4 linked regions of the Saccharomyces cerevisiae S288C genome follow. The gene in region 2 interacts genetically with the main gene of each other region. Each region holds a gene or a part of one and is shown on either strand. Other genes may lie near its edges. The genes, in order: HRR25, SEC12, SFB3 and CBC2.

Region 1 (3,578 bases), on a different chromosome or scaffold from region 2:
TCCATACCGACAATTTTCAACAGTATGTGAGTTAACCTGAGTGAAGCTGCTGTTTGTGCCGGCTGTATATTTGCACAAACTTCCTTGGTATTCCGTCGTTATCGTCTCGTGATTGTTTCCTAATCAGACACTATAAGGCAAGTTAATTATCGAAAATACGAATTGATGCTGTCTTCTCAGAGGCCCTCCTTTAAAACCGTCCAATATTCGTGATTGATCTTCGATCGTTAGCCCTTTATTACATAAAAAAAAAACAAATTGGCCAAGAGGTGCTCCGCTCCCCCTTAATTTCCTTCCCGAAGAAAAAAATGCATAAAAAAAGTGGTTCTTTTAGCTATCATCTTTTTAGGTAAGAAGGCCAGAATTGTATATATTAACTCGATATGGAATTGTGTGTACGTATATGTAAATAATAATAATAATATATATATATATATGTGTGTGTGTATGTCTATATATACATATGTTTATTTTTGTGCGTTTTGAGCAATATATGTTGCTTACAACCAAATTGACTGGCCAGCTGGTTTATCTTGAGGCGGCTGTTGTGGATTAGATCTCATTTGTGGAGGTACAGATGCTTGATTAGTATTAAAATTATTGCTGTTTATTTGTGGGGGATACTGAGTAGCCCTGGTTGTAGCCATCGGAACTTGCTGCTGTTGCTCCTGAGAATCTCTTTGTTGCTGCTGTAGTAACGGTTCAGGATAATAATTTGGTCTTTGGCCATTTGGTTGCTGCTGTAGCTGTTGGGGCTGTGGTTGTGGCTGCGAACTTTGGACCTGCTGCTGCGGCTGCTGTTGTCTCAAGTTTTCCATACCTTTATCTAGTGCGTTCAATAATTCCTCTGGTAAAGAAGAGGCTGCATTATTATTCAAGATAGTTTGTTGTTTGATCTCTTCTGGTGAAGGATTATGTTTGTCTTCATTCTTGTAATAGTGGAAATGGGTGGGGAATTTCTTCATGGCTAACAGTTTAATCTTGTTGAAAGTTTCAGACTTGTTGTCTGTGCTGTTACTTGCACTTGCTGCATTGCTATTTGCGTTCAAATCACCTTTTTCGATGAGGAGGTCCCTTTGCTTCTCCACCATCGCCTTTGTGTAACGCAACATTGTCCAATCGAACAAGTGGTCGTTGTGATACTCTAGTTTAATACTCAGATCTTTAAACAGCCTTGCCAAGAACAAATAATCTGGCTTCTCATCGAATTTCAAATTCTTACAGTAAGCCATATATTCTTGAAACTCTAATGGTAAACCTGAACATAGAGTTTCCACGCTAACGTTTAATTTCTTTTCCATGATACGATCATACTTTTGTTTCTTGGTGGTTGCTTTCAAACCCTGCCATGGCAAAGAACCCTTACAAAAATAGATCAAGACATAACCTAGTGATTCTAAGTCATCTCTTCTACTTTGCTCTATTCCAAGATGCGTATTGACACTTGCATAACGAGCTGTACCTGTCAAGGACTTGTTCTCCCTGTAAGGAATATGACGATGTGTGTTGAAATCTCGGTATTTCTTTGATAGACCGAAATCAATAACATGAACGGTGCTACCACGGCGTCCTACCCCCATTAAAAAGTTGTCTGGTTTGATATCTCTATGAATGAACGACCTTCCATGTATATACTGAATACGGCAAAACATTTGCAAAGCCAGCATGATAACCGTCTTAAAGGAGAACCTTCTGTGACAGTAGTTGAATAAATCTTCCAAAGATGGGCCTAGAAGATCGATGACCATAGCATTATATTCACCCTCTCTGCCAAACCATCTGATGAACGGGATTCCCACACCACCGCTTAAGTATCTGTAGACGCGGGACTCATAGTCCAATTGAGGATGTCTGGACCTGATCGATTCCAGCTTGATGGCTACTTCTTCACCACTAATTAAGTTCGTGCCGTGGTAAATGTCACCAAAGGAACCACTCCCAATCTTCCTGCCAATACGAAATTTCCTTCCTACTCTTAAGTCCATCTCTTTTTAATGTATCCTTTCTATAAATATATCTTTTCTTTTTGGTTTTTTTTTTTGGTCGAATATGTCGTAACTTTTCGACTTTTTTTATCCTTGAAGTCTGGAAATATTTTTCTAAGTACCCAACAGAGGTTTAAAGATGCTACTAAGATGTGTTTTCACCACCAAATGCTTTCCTCGAGTGTCGAACCTTTCTTCTCTTTGTATTTCAACCACGTTCCATATATGTGGTCGTGTTTCAACTTTTTTTCTTCGTCTCCTTTTCCTCGTTGCACCAAAAATTCTCCAGAAAAAAAGAAATTCAAACGTGGGCTGCCTATTAGTAGTAAATACACAGACGGGAAGAAGCGTTGAAACAAAGCGAGAGTTGCAGTAACTCTTCACAGTGGTATATGATTGCCACGAAATAATCGTCGATCCAGTGGTAGTTATTCGTATATAGGAGCCTTTTATAGCAATTAGATGGTATCCATTTTGTGGTACTGTTGCGGGTAATCTGCATCACGTGACTATAACCTCTTTTAATTATATCTCTTTATACGCATGCCGTATCGAGGACAATACCGAATTGGTTTAGATCTTTTAGTATACAATTAAGGGAGATATAAAATTGGTGTTGTTGATGTTACTAGTGTTATTGATAAATAAGAAGTGTAAGATAACAACAAGGACACGAGGATGGTTGAAATTGTGGGCCACAGAGCTTTTAAAGCAAGATATCCTGAAAATACGCTACTAGCATTTGAGAAGGCTTATGCAGCAGGTGCTGATGTAATAGAAACGGATTTACAAATGACCAGCGATGGTATGGTGGTGGTAAACCATGACTCAGACACTGGTCGGATGTGGGATAAGAACTTGGTGATTGGCGAGTCGACTTGGGAGGAGGTTAAGCGATTGCGCTGCAAAGAGGATGGTTCCTTAGCAATGATGACATTGAAGGAAATTCTAACATGGGCAGTGTGCCATCCAGGAGCTAAATTGATGTTGGACATCAAATTTACCAACGAGAAAATCATCATGATCAAGACCTTTGTTATCATGTTAGAGGTTAAGAATGATCTTAAATTTTGGCAGGAGAGGATCACGTGGGGGCTTTGGTTGCTGGATTGGTACGATTTCGGTATTGAAACTGGTGTTCTGAAGGATTTCAAAGTTATTGTGATAAGTCTGTCTTTAGATATCGCCTCGCAATTTGTGAAGCGCTCTTTGACACTGAATGATCCTCACTATAAACTTTTTGGTATCAGCGTCCATTTTGTCTCCTCGTGGACAAGCCAATTTAGATTGAGATTACTACCTGTGCTTATGAAGAATGATATCAAGGTCTATTTATGGACTGTCAACAAACCTATAGATTTCAAATATCTGTGCGAATTGCCTATCCATGGTGCTATCACGGATGATCCGATCAAGGCAAGAAAGTTATGCGATGGTCATACCGTGGCGAAGAAGCCTACTGCTGAAAAAAAGTTTGTTGCGCCCAGTCTGGCATCTGTAGATGGGCTAAGATTCCATGCTTTTATCAAAGTTTATAACATCCTTTGCACGCTTCTATATTCCAAATGGGTCCATATTAAGTTGTGCGGTTGG
Region 2 (5,990 bases):
GAGCATATACTAAAATGCTTAGATGATATTTCCATCGATGCCCATTGGCATGGTGACAAAGTTGGTTTGGAGGGGAATCTGACTATTGCACACTTCCAACTAGCCATGGCTGATCGAATTATAATGAACAAATACGATACTATCGAACATTCACCAGAAATGGTCAAACAATTAAAAGAAAGAGTACGGGAAATAAATTCTATCGCACCGATGTTCTTCACCAAGTATAGTGATACGCCGATTCAAAATTTACTAGATATTCATGCATACGACAGTGTACGGATATCTGACATCTTAGATAGTGGTAGCGGAAACGGTACCATTCATGATGATCGAATGGGCACAATAATGCTTACTTTCAGACCATTAAAAAACGAGGAAGAATATAATAATAAGTTTATTAAGCAATTTTTGCAACCTTTATTGTGGAAGAATTTTGGAGCCATGACAGTGCTGGGAGGGCGTCGCCGAGATGACGGCCGTGATTGGGAAGTACAAAGAACTAAAGGTCTGATACTTATTGAAGGAGAGAACCCCATTGCTCGTGTAATCCAAGGCGTCCGCGACACCTACGATGTCTTTCCAGGCAAATATGACGGATCCAATAAAGAGTGTAAAATTGTGCTGATTGGGAAGTACCTAGAAAAGGAATCCATAGAGGAACTGTTACGTAAAACCCTGGAATGATGGTTGGCATAATAAAGACGAGGTAAGTTATGTATATTTATACGTATGTATGTGATACAAAATGAATGAATATTAAGCGGATGGATCGAAACATTTTAATCCTCTCTAATAGAAACTATTTTAGACGATCTGTTGAATATTCTTTTCCTGTACTTGGCCAAAACGTAGAAAAGTAACAATACCGAAATACCAAGCATAATCTTTGGTAAAGGATGGTGAAGCTGATTATATTTTGCGTCTTCTAACTTTCTTTGACTACCCTGGTATAAATAATTCTTCAATGTAATACCTTTCTCCAAATCGCCGTTTTGGTAATCTTGAAGCCTTTGTAAATACTTTTCGTGAGCTTCCTTTGCATGCTGAATCCTGTGTTCCTGGGATGAAATGTAACCTATTGTTATTGGTTGCTCTGGTTTGCCATTTTCGTCAGTTTTCACATTAGCTAGTTTATCCATCAGATCTTTTAACCCGGCGGTAACTTGGCCAAACACAACACTTTCACCTTCAAGTGGCGTCTCACTGGTCTCAATTATAAACTTAAGACCCTTATCGTCCTTAATCATGGAAACTCTGCCTGGCCTATCATGAATTAAACTATGATTTTCTTCCGGGAGTTTTGGAGCCAACATTTCCGTTTCTTCAATAGAGGAGGAAGAAACGGAGCTACCTTCTATAGCTCCATTCGGTAGAATTTTATCAAAATCGCGTTCTGGCGAGTAACTGTGACGGGAAGCAAGGCGATCTTTTACACTATCAACATACTGGCAAAAAGTCATTACTGTCTTGGGCACCATAGTCCCGTATAAGTCTATTGTTATGAGACGGCCGGCTTCTTCCGAACTTTCAGGATCTGTGAAAACAATTCCGATGTTTACATTATGTGTAATAGGAGGGTCTGGTGCGTATTTTTTCTTTAGGTCTAAGGAGTCTGAAGAAGCCCTTTTGTTATCCACAGGTAATGGCAGAGCCGTTATGCAACTAAACATGAATGCCACATAAAGATAAAGAAAAAAGCTCTTCATTGGGAACCAATGTATACAAATTGTAATAATCTTTCAATTGTGATACTGAATATGAATAGTCTTCTTTATTTATCTACTGCAGTAGTTGATTCTATATATTCTATATATTCTATATTTTTCTTCTATTTTTTTAAATATTTTTTTTCCAATCAAATTGAAAGACCCAAAGAAGGATCGATCTTCTCCAAAGGGACGCGTCGTGTGCCTACAGTTTCCAAATCAGGAATGTATTTTCCTATTTAGGCAGGTTCCTGCAGCAGCCGCACCCCAATGAGGAAGGAGCATACCGTTTCGTAAGAATCATATTTTAATGGTTTTTGGCTTGCCAATGGAGGGTATGAGATCTTGCTTTAGGATGTCTCTACACTGAATCAGCTTTAAATCCTTGATATCTATCGTGGAATCTTGTGGGCCCCGCTCAGCTATGTTTAAATCATACGTTTTTTGTAGGATACTGGTGACGAGCCACAGCACTTGGCCCAAGGATGCGCTTAATGACAGCTGTGTGCAGCGGCGGTCGCCTAGTAACGAGTCAGTGAGCATGGCGCTGATTAAATCACCACTTCCACTAAATTTTGCGTTGATCTTGGGGATTTCATAGAAGAATATCTCTTCACTGGCCGAGCAATCAAACCCTGCTACTACGTAAGTGTCGTTGCTCAGGAATTCAGATAATTCCAGACTAGTGACAACTATTCGGCTTACTCGAGGGTACTTTTTATGAAATAGTTTAAATGCCTGCTTAGCGTCGTCTAAGGTACGAATTGACATCCCCACCAACAGTTCCATTTCAAACTGATTTGGTGTGGCCAAAAAAATTTTGAAGTTTTGTAAAATGTCTTGGTATACCGCAACACATTCTCGATCCACGTACAGCCTTCCATTATCGCCCAGTACAGGATCTAATATCCACTTGACGTTTTCACTCCCCTCACATAATTGACCCACTATTCCTGCTACCTTTTGCAGGGCTTGAACATTGGGTAAATAGCCACTAAGTACGGCATCATACTTGATTCTAAGAGACCCAATCAAGCCCTTCTCTACAATGTCTACCAACTCCTCAGTGCTGCATTTGAAGCCTGTGAAGTGGGCGTACCCCGAGTGGTTAGAAAACTGAACTGTGTTCAATACGTCCACATCCCAACCTCTGTATTGAAGTGGGAACGTAGCGGCCTTGTTTCCCACGTAGCCATGTATGACGTGTGATTGAATGGAGAGCACTTTTTTTGTCGTATGTAATGTACTGGTCATTGGCACCACCCTCACACAGGCATGTATTCAACCTTCCACTGCGTCTGGTCTAATTTCTCAAAGCTAGTTATTATCTTTATCTTGAATGGTGATGACAATAGAGTAAGAATGAGGGAAAAAAGAAAAGTTGAAAAAAAAAAAATCCAAAAAATTCAAAAACGTGTACAGAAACCTAGAAGGATACGTGATAGAAATACAGATATATAACAAGGTTGAGATACAATCGAGCCACTATGAAGTTCGTGACAGCTAGTTATAACGTCGGGTATCCTGCGTACGGTGCAAAATTTTTGAATAACGACACATTACTTGTGGCAGGCGGTGGAGGAGAAGGAAACAATGGCATACCAAACAAGCTGACGGTCTTGCGCGTGGATCCTACCAAAGATACTGAGAAGGAACAGTTTCATATATTGAGCGAGTTTGCATTGGAAGACAACGACGACTCTCCTACTGCAATTGACGCTTCCAAGGGTATCATTTTGGTTGGCTGCAATGAAAATAGCACTAAGATTACCCAAGGTAAAGGTAATAAGCACTTGAGAAAATTTAAATACGATAAAGTGAATGATCAATTGGAGTTCCTCACTAGTGTAGACTTTGACGCATCTACAAATGCGGATGACTACACGAAGCTGGTTTATATTTCACGAGAAGGTACCGTTGCAGCTATCGCATCATCTAAAGTACCTGCTATAATGAGAATCATTGACCCGAGCGACTTGACAGAGAAGTTTGAGATCGAGACTAGGGGTGAAGTAAAGGATTTACACTTTTCCACTGATGGTAAGGTTGTTGCTTATATCACCGGTTCTAGCTTGGAAGTGATTTCAACAGTGACTGGAAGTTGCATTGCTAGGAAAACAGATTTTGATAAGAATTGGAGTTTATCTAAAATAAACTTCATAGCCGATGACACAGTATTGATAGCAGCCTCTTTAAAAAAAGGGAAAGGTATTGTGCTGACCAAAATAAGCATCAAATCAGGAAACACTTCCGTATTAAGATCCAAACAAGTGACAAACAGATTCAAAGGGATTACTTCTATGGATGTCGACATGAAGGGTGAATTGGCGGTACTGGCAAGTAATGACAATTCCATAGCTCTTGTGAAACTAAAAGACCTGTCAATGTCTAAAATATTCAAACAAGCTCATAGTTTTGCCATTACAGAGGTCACTATCTCTCCGGACTCTACATATGTGGCGAGTGTTTCGGCAGCCAACACTATCCACATAATAAAATTACCGCTTAACTACGCCAACTACACCTCAATGAAACAAAAAATCTCTAAATTTTTCACCAACTTCATCCTTATTGTGCTGCTTTCTTACATTTTACAGTTCTCCTATAAGCACAATTTGCATTCCATGCTTTTCAATTACGCGAAGGACAATTTTCTAACGAAAAGAGACACCATCTCTTCGCCCTACGTAGTTGATGAAGACTTACATCAAACAACTTTGTTTGGCAACCACGGTACAAAAACATCTGTACCTAGCGTAGATTCCATAAAAGTGCATGGCGTGCATGAGACGAGTTCTGTGAATGGAACTGAAGTCTTATGTACTGAAAGTAACATTATTAATACTGGAGGGGCAGAGTTTGAGATCACCAACGCAACTTTTCGAGAAATAGATGATGCTTGAGCTTGAGAGAAAGTTATGAGGTAGCAATAATGAAGTAGCGAAAAGGAGAGTGACGACACTCAAGCTATGAAAAAAAACGCAAAGATACAAAAACGATCTCAATGATATTGATGATAGAGATTTATCTGATAAATTAGAAGTGGTGTATTTACATGTTTTTGTATATGTTTTGGAATTGAGCGTAATAGAAAGGACGGCAGTCCTTATGGTTTATGACAAATACGAAAAAAATACTACACAATGCTTTATATTATGTTCTCATTATTATATACGAATACGTACTTCTGCTGGTGCATTGTCTGCGCTACTTTTTTGAATTTCTATTTTTATTTTTACCATTATGGTTGGTCTTTTTCTTTTTGATGCTATCCTTAAATAATTTATCTAGGTCATATTCATCCTCTCCATCGTCTTGGCTCCCTGTAAATTCCTTATCCTTAGCATCCCTTTTCTCGTCTTCATTTTGTTCGCCTTCATCAAACTTTCTCTTCCTGGAACCACTATCATCAGAATTATCGCCAAAGGTTTTTCTCCCACTTATCACACCCTCAGGTTTTCGCAGTTCACTGTAACCAACGTTGGAGATTATGAGATTGGGTCGCTTCTTATATACTACTCTTTTCACCTTTTTCTTCTCCTTACCTGAAATTTTTTTTAAATCATCTTTGTAGCTATTGAGGTCCCACGCTGAGTCATCCAGACCAAAGAGTTTACCTTTCTGCTCTATAGGTTCCACATCTGAGTTGATATTAGACGGCGTATTGGAGTTGGAACTCTCTTCGTCATCCGTCTTACCAAATTTCATAAACTTCATATTCATGACTCTACTAGAGAGTTTGCCAGTGACACCATTGTTAGCACTCATTTGTTGCTTTTCCCTTGGTTCCTTATATGCTTATTGTGTTTAAGTGGCCCTCATCTCTACTACTTTTTCATATTCTGAAATTTCCAGTAGAAAATTTTCAGCGCTTTTCTTAGAAAGAGACAATGGAATCAGACAGCCGCCATTACTTGTAGGCGCTATAAACAAATCAGCATTGTCTGTTCGTCTTTAATTATTATAAATGAATGGTGACCTTTCTTTTCCTATCTAGAGTTTATATACAAAGAAAACTACATAAATCTTCAGTCTATTGTGTATCAATGTAAAGAAGCCTACATTCGTCCATTTGATAATATGACTTCTATATTCTCGCGCAACATAGCTTCATTTTCCTTGTAAAAGTTAGCCCGCCTTACCATATCTTCATTATAGCCCTCATCTCCCGATAAAACTTTCAAAGCATTCGAGGTAGAAGCAATGCATTCATTTAATGCTTTAACTGGGTCCTCACTAATTTTCTTGAAGAAACGGTATCGTTTGTTGCTCTCGTGTAGA
Region 3 (7,413 bases), on a different chromosome or scaffold from region 2:
CATGGACTAGTTCAGTTTTCATTTTGGAATCGAACTGGGTAATATTTTTTGAATTCGGTTTAATCGCATCCAAAGTCGTAGTACTGGAATTGGCCTTATTGAATAAATATGCTCTATCTTGTAGTTGGTTCAGCGTCTCAGAATCGTCGTCTACTGTTTCCCTACCAAACACCTCATCTAAGGTAGACTTCTTACTTGTGCGGCCGCCTACTGTATTATTTGGACCATCTGCTGGGAAGGCCAGTACAGGCGCCACTTTATTATTCTTATTTCTCTGTGGAGTGCATGCATCAAAGGGGCCGTCATGATGGAAAGATCCGCCAAATAATCCTGTAACATCCATCTTGTCAATAGTGTCTACATTTTTAGGGGGCTTAACCTTGGTTCTGCTTTTGCTCTTCTGCTTATCTTTGTCCCTATGTCCGTGTGATGTACGACGATGGTGGTGGTGGTTGTGTTGGTGACTATTTGAACCACTACTGCGTTTCTTTTCTTTTGGGTATGGAGCTTGCTGTTTCGGTGTCCCCGCAGCTTCTTCATATGATGGGAGTCTTTCTTGTCTAGAATTGGAAACGCTACTGTTATGGGCCCTCCTAGTGTCATCTTCATTTAAAAATGGGTTACTGCAATAATTATGGATTATCTCAATCGATTTTGAAAGGAGAAAAAGAGTTAAGTTAGTATTCTGAAGTAGTCATGACTGTTAGTTACACTGTAGTGCAATTTTGGGAGTGGAGCTACACATACTTATAATTCCTGGGCGTTTCATCCCTGCTTGATACTCTGTCCTCTGAAGGAGAAACTCTGAAGGGGTTAATCACTGTATTCACGCCATTTTGAGGACCGCCTATGGTCCTTCCTGTTTGATTCATTTGCGTCTGTTTGATATAGTATTCTTTGGAAAAAACGCTTCTGAAATACAAAATAGTAGTAATTTTGCAAGATTTACCAGAAGACAGTCAAGAAAAAATAAAGATAAAAGAGGAAGCAAAGCTACAGTTTTATCCCTGTAATTATGAGATTCTCTCATCCTATGTAGAATTTCACCCTTTCTCTGCCTGCGTTTCACATACTGCCTTTTTTTTTTTTTTGGCAGTATTCTCAGCATAGTCAGCGTTTCGCTGCCGAGAGCCCTTCTGTGGCTGGAACCCCACCAAAACACGAACCCAAAAATACTTCTCCTGTATTCCCCTTGATCAACGCCTTTCTACATGAGGAGGCGCAGGTGAATGCAGAAAGGCACAATATAGCCAACACGTAAAAATCACAATCATATCAGTCTATTCATTCATTTACGTATTTAATTATTTAGTAATGGATATACGAACCGCATCGGCCACAGCCACAACAATATGTCGTTATTTCCAGTTTTCTGCGTGTAAGCACAGGGTCTCCTTTGAGCGAGGCTCAAAACTGCACAAATTTTTGATGGATATTTTCGTGAGTTGCGGCAGTCGAGACTTTAATGAAATCGTCTTTTTGAAGTTTTTCTTGAATTTTTTTATGCATTATCACCAAGTAATTGTCATATGATTCGATTCTGTTGACGGTCTTGTCCTCGCAAAGCAATTGACTCATCACATTACTGTAATATTGATCAACATTAGGCCTCAACAAGACTAACGGCAATGATGACTTGTTGACTACTTGTTGCCAGTTTTTAATGACGTTTGAAGCCTTTTGATTAATACTAGTGCCCGTCTCAGGCAATGTTCCACTAAATAACGAAATTTGGCTGACGGGCAAGGATTCATCCACTGACAGCAGGTCTTGCAAGAGCATTCTATTGGTGTTCTCATTAAACCATAGATAGATAGTATCACCTTGGAAAATCAAGTAGCAACCGCCGTTAATGAAATTAGAGTGTGAGGCTCTTACAGATAGATTATTAATAGAGCTGGAGTTGATCTGTAATAATTTATCATTAGCATCGTAAAAGGTCAGATCAGTTTCCTCTAATAATACATGGAATGGCACAATTTGTGGATAAAGTTTGTAGCAAAGTTGTGCTGAGTTCAATGAATCGTACTTCAATAAATCATAAATTCGTTCATTACCACGGGTACTTTGAGCGTTTGGCTTCATTAATTCGCTTTTTTCAAATGCTAACATGTAAGCAGGCAATGTCTTTATAGAATCCGGCAGTATCAATTGCGTTGATGAGTTACTGCTAACCAATCCTCTATATTGGGTCAAGATTTCGACCATCTTGTCATCAATTAATCTTCTGATCTTTACAAAGTCACAATCACCGAGCGTCTTTATGACATCTTTGATCATTATTCTCATGACAGGATTTTGATTTATAAACTTGAAAATTTCACGAATGTTATTAGATACCGCACCTGACGTGTTAATAGAACGAACTTTTCTGACACCATCAATATCAGTATATAACAATGCAGTTTGGAAATGAACATCGGTTCCTGTTTTTATTTTACTGTCATATTTTAGTAAGACATCTAAGGTGGTATCTCTAGTCAATACAGGAATAATTGGATCATGATCCGTATTATCAGATGAATCGCAGTAGTACTGTTCCACAGATAGCCCAGTAGAACAGCGAACTTTCAATAAAGCTTGATAACCAACAATATTGGAGACATTTGTAACCATGTCGTTAACCAAAGTGAAGGCATCCGTCTCTTGTTGAAAGTGGGGATAATATTTCAAAATACCGGAAGTCATCTCTACAGGATGGCCCACAGTGGCCATATCAATGAATCCCGCATTGGTCACATATAAATCTAAAGAAATGTAGGATTTCAAAAAATCCGATGCTAATTTCTTATAGAACCCATTGTCGCATTTAACATGAGCAATGTGTGCATTGTCCCTTTTTAGCGATAAATTCCCGTTGCCGATCGTTGGCAAGCTGTTCAAAGAACAAATAATCTTACCACCTTGCCCGCCAGTTACTGTGTCTAACGCTAATTTTGCGGCTTGTAAAGCAGAACCATAACAGACTTGGGGTACGTGACTATACTTGTCGGTGGAGATGTAACCACTAATTTTTATCAATGTGTCATTAATGATTTTCATCGAGTTTCCGGGTTTAACAAATAATCCATTATAAAATGGTAAGAAAACATCGTCCAATTCACTTACAATGTACTCTTGTGCATTATCTAAATCTGGTCTCAAATTAAAGAACCGCAACTTATTATCATAAACGATTATAGCAACCTCACAATTTGGCTGGAAATCTGAAATATACTCAATACATGACCTGACACCTTCCACCATGGCTAAAGAACTTCCGTTCTCATTAGCTAACAATGAAACATCAATCAAAAACACGTAGTGTAGTGGTAAAAGCTCCTTCTCCTGAATAGCATTGTAAATACTTGGCACCAAGAAATCGACTGTTCCGTGCAATAACTCTGATTTTTCGTTCAAATCACTTCGTTGCCCATTGGGACCCATGGGCGCAAAATGCTCACCTGGAACTTGCATCTTAACTCTACAAATATTACAAATAACACTTGAATCATAAGTGAACTGAAATTTAGGATTAGCATACGCACGACAACGTCTACAACGCAAAGGCGTACCATCCATTGGTAATGGAATTGTGGGAACTTCTGCATCATTCGGTGTCAAAGTGGAAAATGGTTGGATGGTTAATCCAAGTGGTAGCTTCGTGGCGGCTCTCAAGTGTTCACTTTCGGGGATGTTGTACATGGATAAACTCATCAAGTGCGGATCACATGAACCTTGGTCAACACAATAAAACTGGGTGGTCGGCAAGGGCGGAACAGAATCTCTACAAGTTTCGAAAGATCGTTGTAAATATTGAGCTTGATCTTCAAATCTTTGAGTTGGAACAATGTGAGATGTAGGTTGAGGCGCTGTCATATCAAGCATAGATTGACCATATGGCGAGGAGGCCTCACTCGCACCGAATCGCTCTTGACTCACCATTACAGGCGTGGACATAACGGAACCCGAACCGTTGTTGAAGCCACCAAATTGCTTAGGGGTAAAGGCTTGAGGTTGTTGAAAACCATCCTGCTGATTCAATTGGGGTGTAGTGTAGGGTGAATTGCCCAAAGTAGGAACAGTGCCCGAGGAAAAGTTATGATATGCTCTGTGAGGTCTTCTACTTTTTTTGGAAGATGCTCCGCCCGTATGCACAGTAGATTCATCAAGAGAGAGCGCTGAAACACTAGCTGCCAAAATATTCTGCTGAGACATGATGGTCCAATATTCTTCTGCAAATGGCCTCCTTAGTAACCCTCAAAATTACTAATTTCTTCAGTTGCAAGCTCCGATTTGGTTGAATCAGACCTAAGTTGTTACAGCGTACGTGTTTTTTTTATTTATTTATTTTCTAACATTTTTCTCTTTGGTTTTTCCAGTTTGATCGTTCCCACGTTGAGACGAAACGAAGGAAAAAAAAGAACATTTTTTTCGCATTGTGCACGGAAGGCTTCACCTTCAATAGGGCAAACAGAAGGACGAGCTGCATCACTTTTAGCCGCCACTAATCAACTCCTTCAGATAGATCGCCAGAACGCAAATAAGTGAAATTTGAAGATCAACTTGAATCAAAAAGCCAAAACTAAGAATTGTACGCTACTCTGCCAGACAATATTTTACGGACACGCGCATTTCAAGACAAAGCCATAATTCATGCCTTTTCAACTAGCATCTGGACGCCGCTGAGATCATAGGAACAAACAAAACGCACGAAAATAGCTAACGCACGTATCGAATACCAAATCAGTCTGCATTTATTGTACCCTCAAATTACAAATTCAACCAACAATTGTTCAAAAGACCACCTTGAATCTTGTGTTTCCTAATTTGGTAAGTGATCACGTGGTCAGACAGTTTTCCAGGTCAAACTGAAAAAAAAGCTCAAGAACCATTTTTCTTTAATAGCCTTTTTTAGTTGTATTCTAATAAACAACACCAACAAAATCGGAGGTATCACACGTAATTACATAAAGAAGATTAAATTCAGAGAAGATCTATCACACGATATCTCCATAGTTACAAAGAATACCGCATTTTGCCGATGTCACTCACTGAGCAGATCGAGCAATTCGCCAGTAGGTTTCGCGATGATGATGCCACTCTACAATCGAGATATTCCACTCTATCGGAATTGTACGACATAATGGAATTACTGAATTCTCCTGAGGATTACCATTTTTTCTTACAAGCTGTGATACCTTTACTTCTAAACCAGCTAAAGGAAGTTCCTATTTCATATGATGCGCATTCACCGGAACAAAAGTTGAGAAACTCTATGCTTGATATTTTCAACAGGTGTCTCATGAACCAAACCTTTCAACCCTACGCAATGGAAGTGCTCGAGTTTTTACTTTCAGTACTACCAAAGGAAAACGAAGAAAATGGGATATTATGTATGAAAGTGCTGACGACACTTTTCAAATCATTCAAATCAATACTACAGGACAAACTCGACTCCTTCATACGAATAATTATTCAGATTTATAAAAATACACCAAACCTTATAAACCAGACGTTTTATGAAGCCGGGAAAGCAGAACAGGGTGATTTGGATTCACCAAAAGAACCACAGGCAGATGAACTTCTCGATGAATTCTCCAAAAATGATGAAGAAAAGGACTTTCCATCGAAACAATCATCCACGGAGCCAAGGTTTGAAAACTCTACCTCATCAAACGGGTTGAGGTCATCTATGTTTTCCTTTAAAATCCTTTCTGAATGCCCTATTACAATGGTCACTTTATATTCGTCTTACAAGCAGTTGACTAGCACCTCGCTTCCGGAATTCACTCCTCTTATTATGAATCTATTGAATATACAAATTAAACAACAACAGGAAGCGAGAGAACAGGCGGAATCACGGGGAGAACATTTCACTTCTATATCGACGGAGATTATCAACAGACCGGCTTACTGTGATTTTATATTAGCCCAGATCAAGGCCACGTCTTTCTTGGCTTACGTATTCATTAGAGGATACGCTCCTGAATTTTTGCAGGATTATGTGAATTTTGTTCCTGATTTAATCATAAGGCTTTTACAAGACTGCCCTTCTGAACTATCATCTGCTAGGAAGGAACTTTTGCATGCCACTAGACACATTCTATCTACAAACTACAAAAAGCTCTTTTTACCCAAATTGGACTATCTGTTTGACGAACGTATACTTATTGGTAACGGTTTTACTATGCATGAAACATTAAGGCCCCTGGCTTATAGTACTGTGGCAGATTTCATTCATAATATAAGATCTGAATTACAACTAAGTGAAATTGAAAAAACAATAAAGATTTACACTGGATATCTATTGGATGAGTCATTAGCCTTAACTGTACAAATCATGAGTGCAAAATTGCTGCTTAATTTAGTTGAAAGAATATTAAAATTGGGAAAGGAGAACCCACAAGAGGCCCCTAGAGCAAAGAAATTGTTAATGATAATCATTGACTCATATATGAATAGATTTAAAACCTTAAACAGACAGTACGATACAATAATGAAGTACTATGGAAGATACGAAACGCATAAGAAGGAGAAAGCAGAAAAGCTCAAAAACTCTATACAGGATAATGACAAAGAGAGTGAGGAATTTATGAGGAAGGTACTGGAACCATCCGATGACGACCATTTGATGCCACAGCCTAAAAAAGAAGATATCAATGATAGTCCCGATGTTGAAATGACAGAATCTGACAAAGTGGTGAAGAATGACGTTGAAATGTTTGACATAAAAAACTACGCACCTATATTATTACTACCCACACCAACAAATGATCCCATCAAGGATGCTTTTTACTTATACAGAACTTTAATGTCTTTCTTAAAAACAATAATTCATGACTTAAAAGTCTTTAACCCACCTCCTAACGAATATACGGTTGCTAATCCTAAATTGTGGGCTTCTGTTTCTAGAGTTTTTTCATATGAGGAAGTCATTGTTTTCAAGGATTTATTTCACGAATGTATTATTGGTTTGAAATTTTTTAAAGATCATAATGAAAAATTATCTCCAGAAACAACAAAAAAACATTTTGATATATCAATGCCCAGCCTACCGGTCTCAGCCACCAAAGATGCTCGTGAGTTAATGGACTATTTGGCATTTATGTTTATGCAGATGGATAATGCCACTTTTAATGAAATAATTGAACAGGAACTGCCATTTGTCTATGAAAGAATGCTGGAGGATTCTGGGCTGCTACATGTCGCGCAATCCTTTTTAACAAGTGAAATAACCTCCCCAAATTTTGCTGGCATCCTTTTAAGATTCTTGAAAGGGAAATTGAAAGATTTAGGAAACGTTGATTTTAACACTTCTAATGTCCTAATACGACTTTTCAAATTGTCCTTTATGTCCGTCAATCTTTTCCCCAATATCAATGAGGTTGTTCTTCTTCCACACTTAAACGATCTAATTCTAAACTCCCTGAA
Region 4 (5,146 bases), on a different chromosome or scaffold from region 2:
TTGTTTTCTTACAGCGTGTATATATTAATGATTAATTTTCTATGACTGATTTCGTCGCGCCCGGCGTTTTCTTGTCTCTTAATGCCTCCTGTTTCTGTTAATTGGTAAGATTATGTTAAATTGGTCAAGATATATACTAATACAATTTTTTAGTTGATCTTCCCACCCTTGTTTTCAAGCGATACCACGCCTATCCAGTGCTACTGATCGCTACTTGCCGAGCCCCTACTTTTATGCTAACAACCTTCGAGAATAGTTACATTCGAAGATGAATTATAACTGCGAAATACAAAACAGGAACAGTAAGAATGTTGACAATCAAGTCAGTCTACCCCCTATCCAAGTTCTATTTAACTCCATAGAAAAACGGAGTATGCCCGAGTTGGCATTTTCGAACATAGAATACTCGCATGGGAACCTTCGGTCTAGTACCGAGGAACAAAACTATCCTGCGCCTGTGTTACTTCCACAGCATCATTCGATTGCGTATCCCGCAATTAATTCTGGCGGTACTAGTACTACTGCTACTCCTACTGCTTCTACAGTTGAAACGTCCAAGACGAGTAGCAGTGCTATGGATACACAATCTCAATATGGCAGTTCAAAGAAGTCAAAATCGGCGTCCGATGATGCAAAGCCCTGCTACAAATCCGCCCCAATATATGAAATAATCAATAAGGAAAAGGATGCGGGGGCACAATACAACAGGCCATTTTCGGATTTTGTAGAATCTAAATCAAGGAGGAAGCAAAATTCGGGCAGGAGGTCTAACCTGCCAAAGGAAACAGTGCAGATACTGAATACTTGGTTGCTGAACCACCTGAATAACCCCTACCCAACTCAACAAGAAAAGAGGGAGTTGTTAATCAAAACTGGGCTAACCAAGATTCAACTTTCTAATTGGTTCATAAATGTGAGAAGACGCAAAATATTTAGTGATTACTATACCCTGGTAAACTCAATTCCTAATGACAACGCGAATAATACCCCAGTGGAACGAGTTCAAAACGTCTCAGCATATCATAACACATTATCTGCCACAAATAATACTATGTACGATGCTACGTCAACCTGCTCCACGGATTATGAATTATCCAAGAGATTTGCTCATGCCCCCGTTACACGCCGTAAAAAACTAATTGATAGGCTGGAAGAATTGAAAAAGCTATCCAACCCTGATATGAATTGATCACTTATCAATGCATTACTTAAATATTCATATAATTATATCTATTACCATTTACATTTTATCGTTACTATATATAGTATTATCATGTCATTGAACGTGTTACGTCTATTATGTTACACTGATTTTTTTTTTTTTTTTTTACATAACAGCATCATGCAAGCCTTTAAAAATAATGTAGGTATGTATATATACAATAATATATATATATATATATATATCTGTGTGTAGAATCTTTCTCAGATATAAATTGATTGATTCTACTGAGGTACGTAGTTATCATCTTCTCTTTCTTCATCGAAACCTGGTCTGAAAGTACCCATTGCATCAGGAGGAGGGATATAATTATTCGTATTAGATTGTGAGCTACTGTTATCAAATCTGGAATGTGGTACGCCGACACGCTCTGCAAATGGAATGGCGAAGCCACCTCTGGATGCATCAAAATCGAACCTCAATTCATCGCTGACTTGACCACCGCTCTTACCACGACCAAACTGTCTTCCATCTTCAAAACCAGGATCTAGATCAATGGTAATTGTCTTTTCGTCTAACTTTGTATCGGACAAATATTTTAAGGCATTCAATGCTTCATCTGGACAACTATATATAATAAAACAGAAGCCACATGGCGTGAACTTAAAACGGTCCAAACCCATAATTATTCTTTTTATTGTGCCACATTTACTGAATAATTCGTAAATTTGTTCTTCTGATGTATAAAAGGAAAGATTTCCTACATAAATTGTGGATGACTTCATCGACTCACGCAGTTCTTGTAGCCCGTTAGGGTTTCTTCTAGCCTTGCGCAGCAGGTACCTTGATGGTGTATCTAGGCGTTTAGTTGAATGATCATATTTAACTTCGTCAAATTCTTCCAGGGACATCTTTCCCTTTATTTATTGGTATATTAATGGATGCAACTTTTATTCGATATTAGTCCTTTCGGGACTTTAAAAGCTGTCGAGACACTTTCTCCATATAAACTCATGTTCTATATTCATACATATAATATTTTTCTTGAAAAAAACACAAAAACTGTTAAAGCGGGTAATACTTTGATAAGCACTTATTAACGTTTATACCATACACTACTTCATACACCAATTACAAATCTATTAGTGGTATACTTTTACTGTAGACAATGTGGATTTTGATGTAATTGTTGGGATTCCATTGTGATTAAGGCTATAATATTAGGTATATAGATATACTAGAAGTTCTCCTCAAGGATTTAGGAATCCATGAAAGGGAATCTGCAATTCTACACAATTCTATAAATATTATTATCATCATTTTATATGTTAATATTCATTGATCCTATTACATTATCAATCCTTGCGTTTCAGCTTCCACTAATTTAGATGACTATTTCTCATCATTTGTGTCATCTTCTAACACCGTATATGATAATATACTAGTAACGTAAATACTAGTTAGTAGATGATAGTTGATTTTTATTCCAACATTTACTGGTACAATAGGTGTATGATATTTTCCCAAAGTTTAAATTTATATAATATAAGTGGCTTGTGCATTAATGCTCTTGAACGAAACTGGATAACGAAAACTGCAAATACTTGTAGTTTTAAACAGACACTTTCTGGGATAGGTCTATCAGCGAAGCTTGGGAATGTTTCGCCAAATTACCTGTATCCTTTCATGAGCGTGAGCAGGTTTAGGTCATGGTCACATCTTATTATATAAATTCTTTCAGAAGATTGTCAATTGTCCATCTATCGCCATAGATTATCTGAGAGCGAAGTTCCATTATGTCTACTAGTAGAAAATAATTTGAAGTTGAAATATAATAGCATTACAAAATTTTTTCTTTATATAGTCCGGTCTTGAAGAAGGATAACAATATTAAGTGTATGAAGACACAAGAACTTTTTCTTGGAAATTTGGATTTTTATGGGAGGAAACCTACAGCGGCAATGTATAATTATGATTAGTTCATCCTTTGCTGCCATCTGTTCGCAATTATTCATGCAATTGTATGATTATTGTCAGGCATTTCAACTTCCGGTAGATTCGTTTGTAATAATAGGTGAATTTTGTGTTGACATTATCAAACCGTTAAGATAGTGTTAGTTGCCAATTAGCATTTGCCTCGATAGAATGTGACGTTAGTTGTGGTACTAGGAATAAAAGTTGATGGCCAAACATTTTTCCTGCACATTTCCTTCAGCGTTTTCAGAAAAGAGAATTTGAGTAAAAATATTTTTGATGTTTAGGTTACCAATATCTCATTAATATAAATTTGAAAACAATGAATTTTGGGTTATACTTGGAGTGCATTTTATTGTGGTTAAAGGCTACAATATTAGCTAAACAGAATGTACAAGTAGTTTTCCTGGAGAATAAAAGAATTCTAAAAGAGAATCGATAATTCTATACAATAATATAGTTATCTCTTCTTTCGTTTATGTACTGTCGTTCTTGTTTTATTACGTTATTAATCCTTGCAGTGCACTTTTCATGATGACTGGTGACTGTTTCTCAATTTTTACATCATTTTTTTTTGAAAACATGATGATATACTAATAATTTGGATACTAGCAATAAATGCTTCTTGATCCTCTATTCCAACAAAAAAGTAACAAGAGCTTACTGATCTTCGGTTTTTATTTTACCTTATCCCAAATATCAAATTGAAATATACCGATTGTTTTAATCCGTTTTGTTGTATATTATCGTAATAATATGCAGATAATATACATATATACGTATTACGCCGATTAGGCTGACACTTTAACAAAATTTTCTGTCCAATTATTGTCCGATATAGTGTAACGGCTATCACATCACGCTTTCACCGTGGAGACCGGGGTTCGACTCCCCGTATCGGAGTTTTCTTTTTGCTTCCTTCCGCCCTTCCAAGTTGTTGCATAATCTTATCTGTCAAAATATGAACGCTTGAAAACTATAGATTATAATTATCATTTATTTAGCCATAATGGAGGGAAGAATAATATGATTGCATATCAAAGGTAAAAAAAGTCGAGTAAATGACTTATAAACGTAAAAAATATATTGATAAAAGACATAAACGAGGCCATGAAGGTGGGAAAAAAAAAAATAACTGCATAATAATGTTAACTAAATGAAAATAAAATGAAAAATAAAATGAAAAATAAAATGAAAAAAACAAATCATAGGACAAAAAGTTTCCAAATGAAGGATAAGAGGCCTAAAAACCAATGTGCTTTCCAGGCAAAACCAATCTTAGCAACAGCTACACTTTGGTTTTGTATAACTTCTTTTTATTTTTCAATGCACGCGGCTTTAACAGTTCAAAGCTACACATCATACCCGTTGTAACGCTCATTACTGCCCCCCAATTATGAAATTCTCCACAATAATTTGGTGCTGAAAAGATTGTGACAAACTTTTTCCTGGCAAAGAATTCATAACCATCTTCTACGACCATATGTCCCCTAAGTATTAAATCGAATTTAAACTTAGCACAAAAATCAAGAACGTTCCTCTTAGAAAATGTGTATGAAACACCACGATCATTTTCTGACCAATCAGTTACTTGAGGGTCTGGGTCACTCCACAGTAAGTCTGTAACCAGCCCGCTTTCAGGAATATCCGTTGGTCTTGCGACTTTTTCGATTTGCTTCATGTCATGTAAATCGGGCGATATACCTCCATGAACGCAAAAGATCTTATCTTGAATAATTGCTGCTAATGGCAAAGTATTAAATACGTCAACGAACATTTTCCATACTTTCGAGCTCAATCGCCTTTTGCATTCATCATAGAAACCGTACATCTTTGTGACATTAGCAGATTCGTGATTACCCCTTAACATAAAAAAGTTGTCTTTGTACTTTATTTTGTAACATAATAACAATAGTATTGTTTCCAATGAGTTCTTACCACGGTCCACATAATCACCCAAGAACAGATAATTAGTATCAGATGGCACACCAGACAACTTCAAAATTCTCA

The links.
Region 1: of SEC12 (region 2) and HRR25, a mutation in one rescues a mutant of the other (synthetic rescue), as found in Saccharomyces cerevisiae (3 studies listed by BioGRID, with this or other methods).
Region 3: mutations in SEC12 (region 2) and SFB3 are lethal when combined (synthetic lethality), as found in Saccharomyces cerevisiae (2 studies listed by BioGRID, with this or other methods).
Region 4: mutations in SEC12 (region 2) and CBC2 together harm fitness more than expected from each alone (negative genetic interaction), as found in Saccharomyces cerevisiae (2 studies listed by BioGRID).

The regions. Positions count from the first base shown.
Region 1 is NC_001148.4:162,683-166,260, reverse strand, and holds HRR25 (serine/threonine protein kinase HRR25), read right to left. Parts: upstream 1,986-3,578; coding exon 501-1,985; downstream 1-500. Other genes in the region: cAMP-dependent protein kinase catalytic subunit TPK2, read right to left, coding at 1-5; PGC1 (phosphatidylglycerol phospholipase), read left to right, coding at 2,664-3,578. UniProt on the Saccharomyces cerevisiae protein: Protein kinase which phosphorylates serine and threonine residues. Can use casein as a substrate. Phosphorylates elongator complex member ELP1/IKI3 on 'Ser-1198' and 'Ser-1202' which promotes the tRNA modification function of the complex.
Region 2 is NC_001146.8:671,896-677,885, reverse strand, and holds SEC12 (Sar family guanine nucleotide exchange factor SEC12), read left to right. Parts: upstream 1-3,196; coding exon 3,197-4,612; downstream 4,613-5,990. Other genes in the region: ZNG1 (GTP-dependent zinc transferase), read left to right, coding at 1-687; peptidylprolyl isomerase family protein CPR8, read right to left, coding at 783-1,709; putative pyridoxal kinase BUD17, read right to left, coding at 2,010-2,963; MPP6 (Mpp6p), read right to left, coding at 4,917-5,477; SNF12 (Snf12p), read right to left, coding at 5,768-5,990.
Region 3 is NC_001140.6:297,738-305,150, forward strand, and holds SFB3 (Sfb3p), read right to left. Parts: upstream 4,198-7,413; coding exon 1,408-4,197; downstream 1-1,407. Other genes in the region: PAL2 (Pal2p), read right to left, coding at 1-623, 748-872; histone acetyltransferase TRA1, read left to right, coding at 5,024-7,413. UniProt on the Saccharomyces cerevisiae protein: Component of the COPII coat, that covers ER-derived vesicles involved in transport from the endoplasmic reticulum to the Golgi apparatus.
Region 4 is NC_001148.4:209,085-214,230, reverse strand, and holds CBC2 (nuclear cap-binding protein subunit CBC2), read right to left. Parts: upstream 2,074-5,146; coding exon 1,447-2,073; downstream 1-1,446. Other genes in the region: CUP9 (Cup9p), read left to right, coding at 269-1,189; PPQ1 (protein-serine/threonine phosphatase), read right to left, coding at 4,425-5,146.